Linked DNA regions of Arabidopsis thaliana. The protein of the gene in region 2 interacts with the protein of the main gene of each other region in a pairwise test. Each region holds a gene or a part of one and is shown on either strand. Other genes may lie near its edges. The genes, in order: AT2G39805 and AVP1.

Region 1 (5,230 bases), on a different chromosome or scaffold from region 2:
GACAGAGGCAAACTAAACATTAATGCACGTAGGAAACTTCAATGTACAACGGATATTTCTAAGGGGGATAAAGAGAGTTATTTAAGCATACTTTTGCAAAACTGTTTGGATATCAATGAAATGAAATCATGGCTGACCTGCTTTGTTTTACCAATGTTCTCTCTCAGCGTCTGCACATCTTGAAGCTGAGGTGACACAGAACCCTTAAAAGCTGATTCCATAACTTCGAGCACACTACATATGCCAGCCACCTGTTTGGAACACCTTAGGAGTTTATCTAACCACGCTTGCATCTCTTTTGTTTCAAGATTATCTGAGGGCCAATATTAAAGATAGACAGACCTTACGGTGCACAAATATACAGTCTTAAGAAACATAAAAATATTAACAGCTAAAAGGATACAGATTTCTTGAAGTTCAGCTAAGGTGCTCCGGAATGTACGCTTGACCCAATCCTTGACAACAACTTCATCCAGCAAGAAAGCAATGACCGGATCACTAGATACAGCTGTCTCATCCATACAGACATTGGTGATATCTATTAATTTTCTGTCAAGGAGATGTCAACTATGCATCCAACATAAAATACCTCTTAGAGAATGAATGACAAAAACACTATGCACATTTCGCCCAACAGAGACAAGCATGAAACAAGAACTACCTAAAAATACATGAACCTATCAGTACAAAACTCCCCATATAAACACAGTTCCTAATAGCACAAGCATACGAATCTAAAAGAAATTCATGAAAGTATCAAACAGGAAACTAAAAGACTAAATGCATATATCAGACACCAAGCATAAATGCAACTGAAGGATACAATGGCAAACCACCGAGATCAAATTATTGTTCATAGCAACATCAAACAGAGAATAAAGGCGATGAACATCAGCTGCCAATTGATGTTCATCCTCATCCGAATCCTGTGACGCCTCTTCATGTGTTCGGGAAATCAAACCAGCTTCAACACACTCATAATAGAGACGAAGCCTAAGTCTATCTCCAAATTTTGGTAGCGTACTTCTACAGATAGGACAAACATCACACCTCTGACAACACTCTGTGCACAAGGAGGCATGACCACATGGATTCAACACATAGTTCACAAATCTTCCACAGCTAGCTAAGTCTCTTGTTGCACGACATCGCTCAACTTTTGCCTCATTACATAATTCTCTGAGGTTTATAGATGCCAAATGTTTCAACGCCTCCTGTAAGTTACAAACAATAAATTCGAAATTAACTCTAAGCTCTGCAAAACCCATTTTTTTAAGCTGAACCTAGAAATCCTAAGACCTGAGCTAAACTAATTCAGTGGAGAAATAAAAAGGTATAAAGCGGAAGAACCTGAACAGGCTTGCTACTGTAATTAGGCTGCGTAGGAAGAGATATCGATCTCGCGGCGGAGGCAAAACCGTTGATTTCTCTCGTATCCATCTACTCCGGTGACGAATACAAAAATGGAGGTAAAGAGAGAAAAAGCGTGGTTGGTGTTGGCGAGAGTGATAAAACCAGTCTAGGGCTCCGTTGAGCTTTCTCGGGAGGGAAGACGAAGAGAGGAAACACTGTTGAGTGAATTTCTCCTCAAACGGGTCAAGTCGGATTGTTTAATTCGGGTCAAATTTTAAATATGGGCCTTTCTTTTTGAAGTCTTGTGTGAATCTTGTGATTGTCTGGGCCCAAGTCGGCAAATCACGATTCGGGTCAAAATTTAAATATGGGCCTTTGTTTTTGAAGTCTTGTGTGAATCTTGTGATTGTCTGGGCCCAAGTCGGCAAATCACGTGTCCGAAAGTGAACAGCGCGTGTTTTACCGACTTGCTAAGAAAGCGCGTGGATCGTTCTTTCTTTAGTTTCTCTTCCTTTCCCAATTGCTTCCACGACGACGGAGGAGGAGAAGCAAACCCAGAAACCTTAAAAATTCAGAAAAAGGGACGACCTTTTTTCCGATCTTATCGATTTTTGAATGAGATTAGAAGAACCTATCTTCTAAGTTTTTCTTTGATATCTTTTTCTCTTTGATCGATGGATGAGTCGTTCGCTAATCTACAATCAAGCCATTTGCTTGGTTCAGTTCCGGTAAGTCTATATTACATCTATTGCTTCTTTCATTTCACCATCAATAAGCTCTTTGATTGAGTTTTTCTATGATCCTTGTTTGTGTGAAGGGAAAATTAACGTTTTTTGTTCATGCCATCATTTTGTTTGTTGTTCTGTCTCAAGTGTTACATTAGGAAGTAGAATTTTGAAACTTTTCAGATTTTTTTGTCATATTTTTTCGCGTCCACGATGATGCCTAAAGTCTTCACACTCATAGAACAATGGACGATTTCCTTATTTGCATTTCTGGGTTTCTATATTTGTTAAGGCGTTTTATTTAAGTTTTTTCACCATTTTAGGAGACAATTCGTATGAAAAACAAAACTGTATTTGAGTTTAAATGCTTGCATGATAGCTTCATTTTGGATTGAATCCGCTAAGATAAATGTTTTGAGTGAATGGATTGACTATCCCCGTGTTATTATGTCTGATACAAACATCTGTATTCTTAGGCTGTGATCAGCGACGACAAGAGAAGCACAAATGTACCAATAGCAAGCGTCAATGAAGGTGTGTTCTTTTGCTAGTTTCTGCTTGAATTATCTTTTGCAAAGAACTTTTCCGGTAGTGAAAGACATTGAGTGTTGTATGTCTTCTGCATTATTGCAGGCCCTTCTGCAAGCATGCAAATATTTCCACCGAATCTAGGAAACAATACAAAGGGTTATCAAACTCTTGAGAGCCCAACAGGTATATATGCTCCTTTTAGATTCCTTTTTTAGGAGATATTTTTATCTGTAGTCACCATGAATCAGTACAATGGTTGAAAGAATACTTGTGTGAGTCAACCTCGTTTTTCTTATGGATGTCAAGATCCTATATACCTTTGTTTTCACCTTGTTCTGTCTTATATGGTGATATATCTTATCTGCTCCAGTAGAAGGACCAGCACAACAGCCATCAAACAACTGGAAGGGCTTTTTTAATGTCTACTCATATACCCAATACTTCGACGTGGACACGGACGTTGTTTTGAACAGATTAATGAGCTCTTTATATCCTACTAGTGGAGATTTTTTCAACAAGATTGATGCAAACCCTGATTTGTAAGTCTTTTAATGCCTTTTTCTCCTTCACTCTTCTTGGTGATTGTACTTACCATGAGAGAGTTCTTTCGAATTTCTTTAATCGGTCCATTGCTCAGTCATGCCGTTAATTTGTTACCGTTCTAAGTGTTATCTTCTGCACCTTTCCGAAAGCATGATCTTGCTATTCATTTACTCCTATGTTACTTCAGGCGATTGATTAAAATATCCTCATTTTCTCTTGGACAAATGAACAGAAAGCATCATAATATGTTATCCTCTAAAGATTGGCTAAAAGCTAGGCCTTTCACAAATTATTCTTGATTAATGACTCGTGTGTGCTTCTGTTAGGTATGGACTTGTCTGGATCTGCACTACGCTTGTGTTTGTGCTTGCTTCTCTCGGAAATTGTGCTACATATCTCGTGAAGAAACGAACCGACAGTAATGCTCCTTGGATCTTTGATGTGAACTATATGAATTTGGCAGCATCTATAATATATGGATATGCAATAATTGTGCCTCTGGGATTTTATTTTGCACTCCGTTATATGGGGTCCAAAGCTGATCTTCTAAGATTCTGGTGCCTTTGGGGATACTCTCTCTTCATTTTCGTTCCAACCTCTGTAAGTATCTTCAGTAACTTCGGTCTCTTTTGCTGTTAAAATTAATCAATTGATGATCAGTAACACTAAAGACAAATGCATATACTTGATACACAATGGTTTGGTAACTTCACTTTCAATGACCATGTACAATGACATAAATCAACCTAACTTGATATCACAACTTTATACTTCATACTGTTTAAGCATAATAACACTCAGGATGTTCTATTTTGCAGCTTCCATTGCTTATTCCAGTAGAGTTTCTGAGATGGGTGATTATACTCTTAGCTGGTAGTGCATCATCGTGTTTTGTTGCCCTGAATCTACGGTCTTACCTCGAGACGAACAATGATATCACGGTTGTAATGGCTGCAGCATTTGGTCTGCAAATGGTTCTTTCAATCTTCATCAAGGTCTGGTTCTTTCCTTAATCTCCATGAGACGGTCAACACCAGACAAAACATATATATGTAAAAACCTTTAGATTTTGATGTGCTGCGGTAGAACTAAGAATGTCGTTACCAGAAAATGAAACCCACAAAGTAGAAGAAGGAACATATCCGCTAAATCATTCGGTTTCGTTTTTACTGGCGGATTTTCATCGTTGCTTGTAACGATTGTGTTTTTTCATTTTTTGGTTTTGTTTGCTACCACTTATTTTGCTTATGGAGTAAAAATATATAAAAGAAAAAAAGGAAGTTTTCAAGATTTATTGCAATTTACTCTCTTTTGTGAAGAGTGGAGGAGAGTGTTGAGTTATGATTCTGTATCTTTTGGTACATTTTGTAGTCTTTTGAATGTGGCAGAAGATATCACAGAATGGACTATAAAAGTATAAACCTTTTTTGAGTACAGAGCATGTGAAGTATGAAAGAAAAAAGCCAAAATGTCACATTAGATAACCTGTGAATTATCTTTATTTCTCCTTTGAATAAAAAAATGGATAAAGTATCTGCGAGATTTATCATTTATGAACAGACTCGATTTACAGGTCAATCTTACTCGCTAATAAGTTATAATTGATTTGTTCTTAAGAAACATCACCAGCACTTACAACAAGAATCCTCAGACTTTTAGTTAATGAAACATGTTAGGTAGAATAATGGGCTGCGCAGTAGTTATGGGCCTACTTCACTGGCCTATTGGAATAGATAAAAATCACATTTTGGTTTTTTTTTTTTCTATCTAAACTCAAATATTGTTGTGTTCTAAGCACACATACAATATGCTCTAACGAAATCTTATCAAGAAAGAAATTTTTGTTGCAAGTTGTAACCATGAATTTTACAGTTTCTCTCTGTTATGAGATCCTTATATTGACGTTCAAGTTTTTGAGTTGCATTGAAAATTAGATTATGATGTGAATATTTATATAACTCAAAGATTCGAAGCTATGGTTTAAGCCTTTTTGACCTAAACGGATAAATACCGTATATAATTGAAAATCATGGTATATTCGTATATCCACCTCTTTTAACTTTATTGTTTTTTTTTAT
Region 2 (6,185 bases):
AAGCAGAGAGGAATAGACTGTGTTGTGATAAGTGTAGGTAAGAAAGGGAATGCTTATTTTAGTCGGAGAGATGAATTTGATGTTGATAAATGTATTGAAGGAGGAGGTGTTTTCCCAACGACTAAAGAAGCTCAAGTTATTGCAGATGATGTGTTTTCCTTGTTTGTCAGTGAAGAGGTTGATAAAGTTGAGCTTGTTTACACAAAGTTTGTGTCTTTGGTGAAATCTGATCCTGTGATCCACACTCTGTTGCCTTTGTCGATGAAAGGAGAGTCTTGTGATGTGAAAGGTGAGTGTGTTGATGCTATCGAGGATGAGATGTTTAGGCTAACGAGCAAAGATGGGAAGTTAGCTGTGGAAAGGACCAAGCTTGAAGTTGAGAAGCCTGAGATCTCACCGTTGATGCAGTTTGAGCAAGACCCTGTTCAGATTCTTGATGCAATGATGCCTTTGTATCTCAACAGTCAGATTCTAAGAGCACTGCAGGAATCTTTAGCGAGTGAGCTTGCGTCGAGGATGAATGCGATGAGTAATGCGACTGATAATGCGGTTGAATTGAAGAAGAATCTGACGATGGCTTATAACCGAGCGAGACAGGCTAAGATCACTGGGGAGTTGCTGGAGATTGTGGCTGGAGCAGAAGCTCTTCGAGAGTCTTAGGTAGAAACTACAGCTGTGTAAAATCATTTGTTGTTTGTGGTAATAAATGTCATGAAAGAATTTACAGATCATGAGAAATTGAGAATCGTTTACACCTAACGCCGACAAAAGACTAACAGTAACAATAAATTCCAATTATGTCTCGAAGAAGACAACCAATTTAGGAAATATAAGCAGCAGAAAGTAACGGCTAAAACAAGTCTCGACCGAATACTTGGTGGATTTCTAAATTCTAAACAGAACAAAAAGAAAACAGAAAGACAGAGAGTGAGAGAAAGAAACATCATTTGGTTGGTTCTTTAAATGAGCCTCATCAACAAAAAAGGTTTTTTAACCACCTACGGTAAACGAAAATAAGAATGGTAAAAAAGAAAGTTTAGAATCGATCGCCATCATCATCTTCTTCTTCTTCATCATCGTCATCTTCTTCCCTCGGATTGAGTTTAGAAGTACTTGAAAAGGATACCACCGTGAGTGGCGAAGAAGGGAGCAAAGACAAGAGACTCAACAGCCATGAGCTTGATGAGGATGTTCAATGAAGGTCCTGAAGTATCCTTCAATGGGTCTCCAATTGTGTCTCCAATCACAGCTGCCTTGTGTGGCTCTGAACCCTTTGGTCCAAGGCTCTTTGCGTGCTCTGATACACCAGCCTGCGAATATATAACAATGCTTAAGGATTTGACTTCATATTTTCAAATGGTTTGATTTAAGCTACAAGAAAATTCCATTACCTCGATGTATTTCTTGGCGTTGTCCCAGGCACCACCAGTGTTAGATGCTGATATGGCGATCTGAATAGAATAAACAGAGAGCATCGATGAGCATTTTTTTTAAGAATAGTTATTCACAATTGAATTGAGAATATACTTTACCTGAACACCGGATACAAGAGATCCGGCGAGGACACCAGAGAGGGTCTCAACTCCAAAGAAGAAACCAACAATGAGAGGTGTGAGCATGACAAGGCAACCAGGAGGTATCATTTCCTTGATGGAAGCATCGGTGGAGATCTTGACACATGTGGCGTAGTCTGGTTTTGCGGTTCCTTCCATAAGTCCAGGGATGGTGTTGAACTGCCTGCGAACTTCTTCAACCATCTTAAGAGCTGCACTTCCCACACTCTTCATTGTCATGGCAGAGAACCAGTAAGGAAGCATGGCACCAACAAGGAGCCCAATGATAACTTTAGGGGTCAAAACATCTACGGTGTGGATCCCTGCACGGCTCACAAAGGCACCAAAGAGAGCCAAGGAGACTAGGGCAGCAGAGCCAATGGCAAATCCCTGTACACAACAAACCAGAATAACATGTCAAAATACAACACAAGCAAAGGCAACCTGAGGAATGGTTCAAGCAAGCAAGCTCTTTTATTAATTCATCGGATTGCAGAAAGAGGTTAAGAAGGCTCCATACCTTTCCAATAGCAGCAGTGGTGTTTCCAGCGGCATCAAGAGCATCAGTTCTTTCACGGATGCGGTGGCTCATTCCAGCCATTTCAGCAATACCACCAGCATTGTCACTGATGGGACCATAAGCATCAATTGCCAAACCAGTGGCAATGGTACTGAGCATACCAAGAGCAGCAACAGCAACACCATACATAGCAGCAAAGCTGAAGCTAACGAATATACTGATAGCAATAGCAAAGATTGGAATAATGACGGATTTGTAACCAAGAGCAAGGCCGAAGATAACATTGGTAGCTGCACCAGTTCTGCATGAATCTGCAACATCTTGCACAGGGCTGCAAGAATAGGAGGACATAAGAGTTAGCTCTACTAGCTGGGAAAAGTTAGTGACTAAATACAGCTAAAATGAGTCTTACCTGTAGGCGTTACTAGTGTAGTACTCAGTGACGAAACCAATAATGAGTCCAGCCCAAAGACCAACACAAACACAAAGGAATAGCTGCCTGAAATCCAAAATAATGCAAGACTTAAAAAAGTGCAACGAGAAATTTGAATAGAGAAATGCAGGAAAAAAACAAAAGCAATCATCCACAAGGAAATTACCAGTTCTTGACAACTTTTTGTGTTCCAAAGTTGAAGATGGTAAAGGAGGTCGGTAAGCCAACCCATGACACAATAGCAATACCAACAGTCATAATAACAGTTGAGATAATGAGCTGGTTCTTCAATGCTGGTTCAATCTCCTTGACAAGCTTAATCTCAAAGAAGTCAGTGGCAAAGAGAGTTGTGATCAAACAAACCAAGATTCCCATTGAACTGATGAGCAATGGGTAGCACATGGCAGTGAAGTCGTGGTTGATTCCGAAAGATGAGATCGAGGCAACAACAAGAGCAGCGCATGATGCTTCAGCATATGATCCAAAGAGATCAGATCCCATACCAGCAATGTCACCAACATTGTCACCGACATTATCAGCAATGACCTGTAACATAACCAACCAAAATAAGTCTTAACTTCTATTGAAAAAAAGAAAGCAAAGTGTTATCACACAGTGAAATGGTGTACTTACAGCTGGGTTTCTTGGATCATCCTCTGGAATATTCCTCTCAATTTTACCGACAAGGTCAGCGCCGACATCAGCAGCCTTAGTGTAGATCCCACCACCAACACGGCCAAAGAGAGCCATGGAAGACCCACCAAGACCATAACCAGTAATAGCCTCAAAAAGACCTTCCCAGTCATCTCCGTAATAGATCTTGAACACATTGATAGTAATGTAAAGCACCAATAGACCACTCGCTGCAAGAAGGAAACCCATCACAGCACCAGACCTGAATGCAACAATGAACGCCTTTCCAACACCTTTCCTCGCCTCCAAAGTGGTCCTAGCATTAGCGTATGTAGCAATCTTCATCCCAAGGAAACCAGATAGAACAGAGGTAACAGCACCAAGCACGAAAGCAATGGTACTGAAAGCTGCAGTAGCCAATGCAGGCTTGCAGGTTCTGGTGGTGTCGTAAGTACAAGGCTTGTTATCAGTGCTGAATCCCTCAACAGAGCCGAGGAAAACAAAGATAACAGCAGCAAAGAAAATCATGAAGACACCAACATATTTGTACTCCGTGAATAGGAATGAAGTTGCACCTGTCCCCACAACAACCAAACAGATCCCAATATTATTCACTCAGAAAACACACATCATCTCAGATTTCACAAGATACTGAATTAGTAATTTCAACGTTCTAACAATCCAAAACATCATCAAACAACCACCAATCAAAAAACAGAGCCAGATCTAAAAACAGAACAGTGAGATCTGAATAAAGTATCAATAGATCTTACCTTCGGAAATAGCAGTCTGAATCTCAGCGCACTTAGCGACAACACTCTGGTCATTAACACCTTCCTCTTCCTCGATTAGATAATCACCGTATCCATTCTTCCCATTGTTAGCTCCACCGGAAGACGATGCGCCGAGGTCAGAGGTGAGTTTCACGCGAGATACAACGTACCATTGGAAAAGCGAAAAGGCGATACCAATCACCGCACAAATCGGTACAAGGATCTCCGTCCAGAGCTCCGGTAACAAAGCAGGCGCCACCATCTTCTCTCCTCCGTATAAGAGAAAAACAAATAAAAACAAATAAACAAAAGAAAGAGAACCGCTTCGCGCGAGAGAGAGAACACAGAACACACACAGAGAGAGAGGTGAAGAAGAAAATGAGGCGTAAATAGGTGAGGATATCGTGTCGTTATATAAGACTAGCTCTCTCCTTCTTCTCTTTGGATGCTCCCATCCAGAAAGATAGATGGAATCCGGTACGGTTGGGTACACGGTTTTTACGCTACACCATCAGAACTCATTTACGCGCGTGTTGACTACGCTCTATTTGTCCGAATTTAGATTCATCCTCATCTATCCGGTAGTTGTCGGACACGACAGCAAAGTAAAGCTTGAGTTCATCTTGGTCGTTGAGTTTAGGGCGAAAGACACCTACTACGTGTTGATCGATGCGTTTTTAGCCGTCGGATCTGGAAGTACATGATTAGTACTTTTCGGGTTTTGTAGTCAATCCCCCTTCGTGGTAGAAAATTAATTTAGTTAGGTGAAGATTATGATTTATCTGATCCATATGGTATATTCTGAGTATTTACCAAATCGGGTGTATTTTGGTCTAAAATATATCATTTAATTCTCTCTTCCTATTTTACAAAGATGGATTCAGTGTACATATTATCAAATATGGATAAATAGTAAAGAGCTTTGAACAATAAAAAAAGAAGATATAGTTAAGAGCCTAAATCATTTTGTATTAATTTCATGATTAGGATAAATGGAAATACGTAGTTAAAATATCAGGGTTTTTAATTGTTTAAATGAAAGCCATAGTGAAAAATCTAACCCTTTAATTAAAACAGGCCATCTGTATAAAATTGTTAATTTACCAATCCACGATATATAAATGCTTGCCATAAACTTTATTGGGGTAAAGTAAATGCTTGCTATAATTGTAAAAGCTATGATTAACAATAACAAAATTCTCATTTATGTAGGATTAAATTTGAGGATTTGACTCTCTTTTTTTGGCAAAGAGATAAAACTACATCCGTGTGCTGATTAATATCTACGTGTCAGATAAAGCAAAAAAGAAAAATGCAAAGCAAAAAAAAAAAAAAAAAACTTTTCAGTTTACGATGAAATTTAAAGTGGAATAAAAACTCGTATTCGTCTCTAATGTGAATCGATTCTATAGTACTTTCACAAATTCGATTCGACGTTGTACTAAATTATTTTTGGCATTTGTTCGATTAGGTTAGATTCCAATACTTTTTCATTTTAATCTCATCTTCATACGATACGAGACAGTCGTGTAAGAAGATACAGTGCACCAAACCGTACATAGATATTGCCAGTGAATACAAAATTGAAGAAGTTTGTGAGAGAGGAGGATATATCGGAGGGCCTTTTCGAACGGCTGACGTAATTAAGTGTATTGAATGGTGTGCAACCCTCCAATCGGATAAATACCTTTTTATATATAAAATAAAATATCTTAACCAAAAAATTATTTTGTGGAATTTTCTTAGCATTTAATTGTGTTTTTTTTGGGTACTCAGTGAGTACTAGTGACCACTCATGCTTTATCTTTGTTCCCTTTTGCAGGTTGCTAATGAATCTCGAAAAAATTATTATCATGTAAAGGAAATCTTTCCTAGTTTTGTGGCTGACATACTTTTATCTTTCAATCACGATTTAGTTTCCATTTCTTTCTAAATTATATAATATCATTCATGGCCTAAAGGTTTATCCAAGTGGTGACTGGTGTGGTAAACGTAGAATTCAAACCAATCCACCTAATTAAAGTTAAAACAATAATTGAATTAGAAAGAGGCGAATGATTTTACACGGTAAGATTTGTGACTTTCCATGATATATGATTAGATTATCGTCGTCGTCGTAATTATAATGTTTTCTATTTAGCCTCACCAAAATTTGGTGACATCTCAATGTTTATAGTTGTATATTGACAATGCTATAAGGCGTTGATGAGTATCAATCGAATTAGTTAAACGTTTATGAATTACTCAATTAGAACGAAAAAGACACTGTAGTA

Evidence for each region.
Region 1: the proteins of AVP1 (region 2) and AT2G39805 interact in a protein complementation assay, tested with the Arabidopsis thaliana proteins (one large-scale study listed by BioGRID).

The regions. Positions count from the first base shown.
Region 1 is NC_003071.7:16,609,151-16,614,380, reverse strand, and holds AT2G39805 (Integral membrane Yip1 family protein), read left to right. Parts: upstream 1-1,826; 5' UTR 1,827-2,027; coding exon 2,028-2,081; intron 2,082-2,554; coding exon 2,555-2,612; intron 2,613-2,711; coding exon 2,712-2,792; intron 2,793-2,979; coding exon 2,980-3,148; intron 3,149-3,478; coding exon 3,479-3,752; intron 3,753-3,970; coding exon 3,971-4,165; 3' UTR 4,166-4,482; downstream 4,483-5,230. Other genes in the region: HOS1 (ubiquitin-protein ligase), read right to left, coding at 138-313, 404-538, 824-1,214, 1,351-1,440.
Region 2 is NC_003070.9:5,397,104-5,403,288, reverse strand, and holds AVP1 (Inorganic H pyrophosphatase family protein), read right to left. Parts: upstream 4,364-6,185; 5' UTR 4,175-4,363; coding exon 3,913-4,174; intron 3,715-3,912; coding exon 3,140-3,714; intron 3,053-3,139; coding exon 2,673-3,052; intron 2,573-2,672; coding exon 2,486-2,572; intron 2,405-2,485; coding exon 2,074-2,404; intron 1,944-2,073; coding exon 1,533-1,943; intron 1,452-1,532; coding exon 1,392-1,451; intron 1,311-1,391; coding exon 1,104-1,310; 3' UTR 770-1,103; downstream 1-769. Other genes in the region: ATPC2 (ATPase, F1 complex, gamma subunit protein), read left to right, coding at 1-660. UniProt on the Arabidopsis thaliana protein: Contributes to the transtonoplast (from cytosol to vacuole lumen) H(+)-electrochemical potential difference. It establishes a proton gradient of similar and often greater magnitude than the H(+)-ATPase on the same membrane.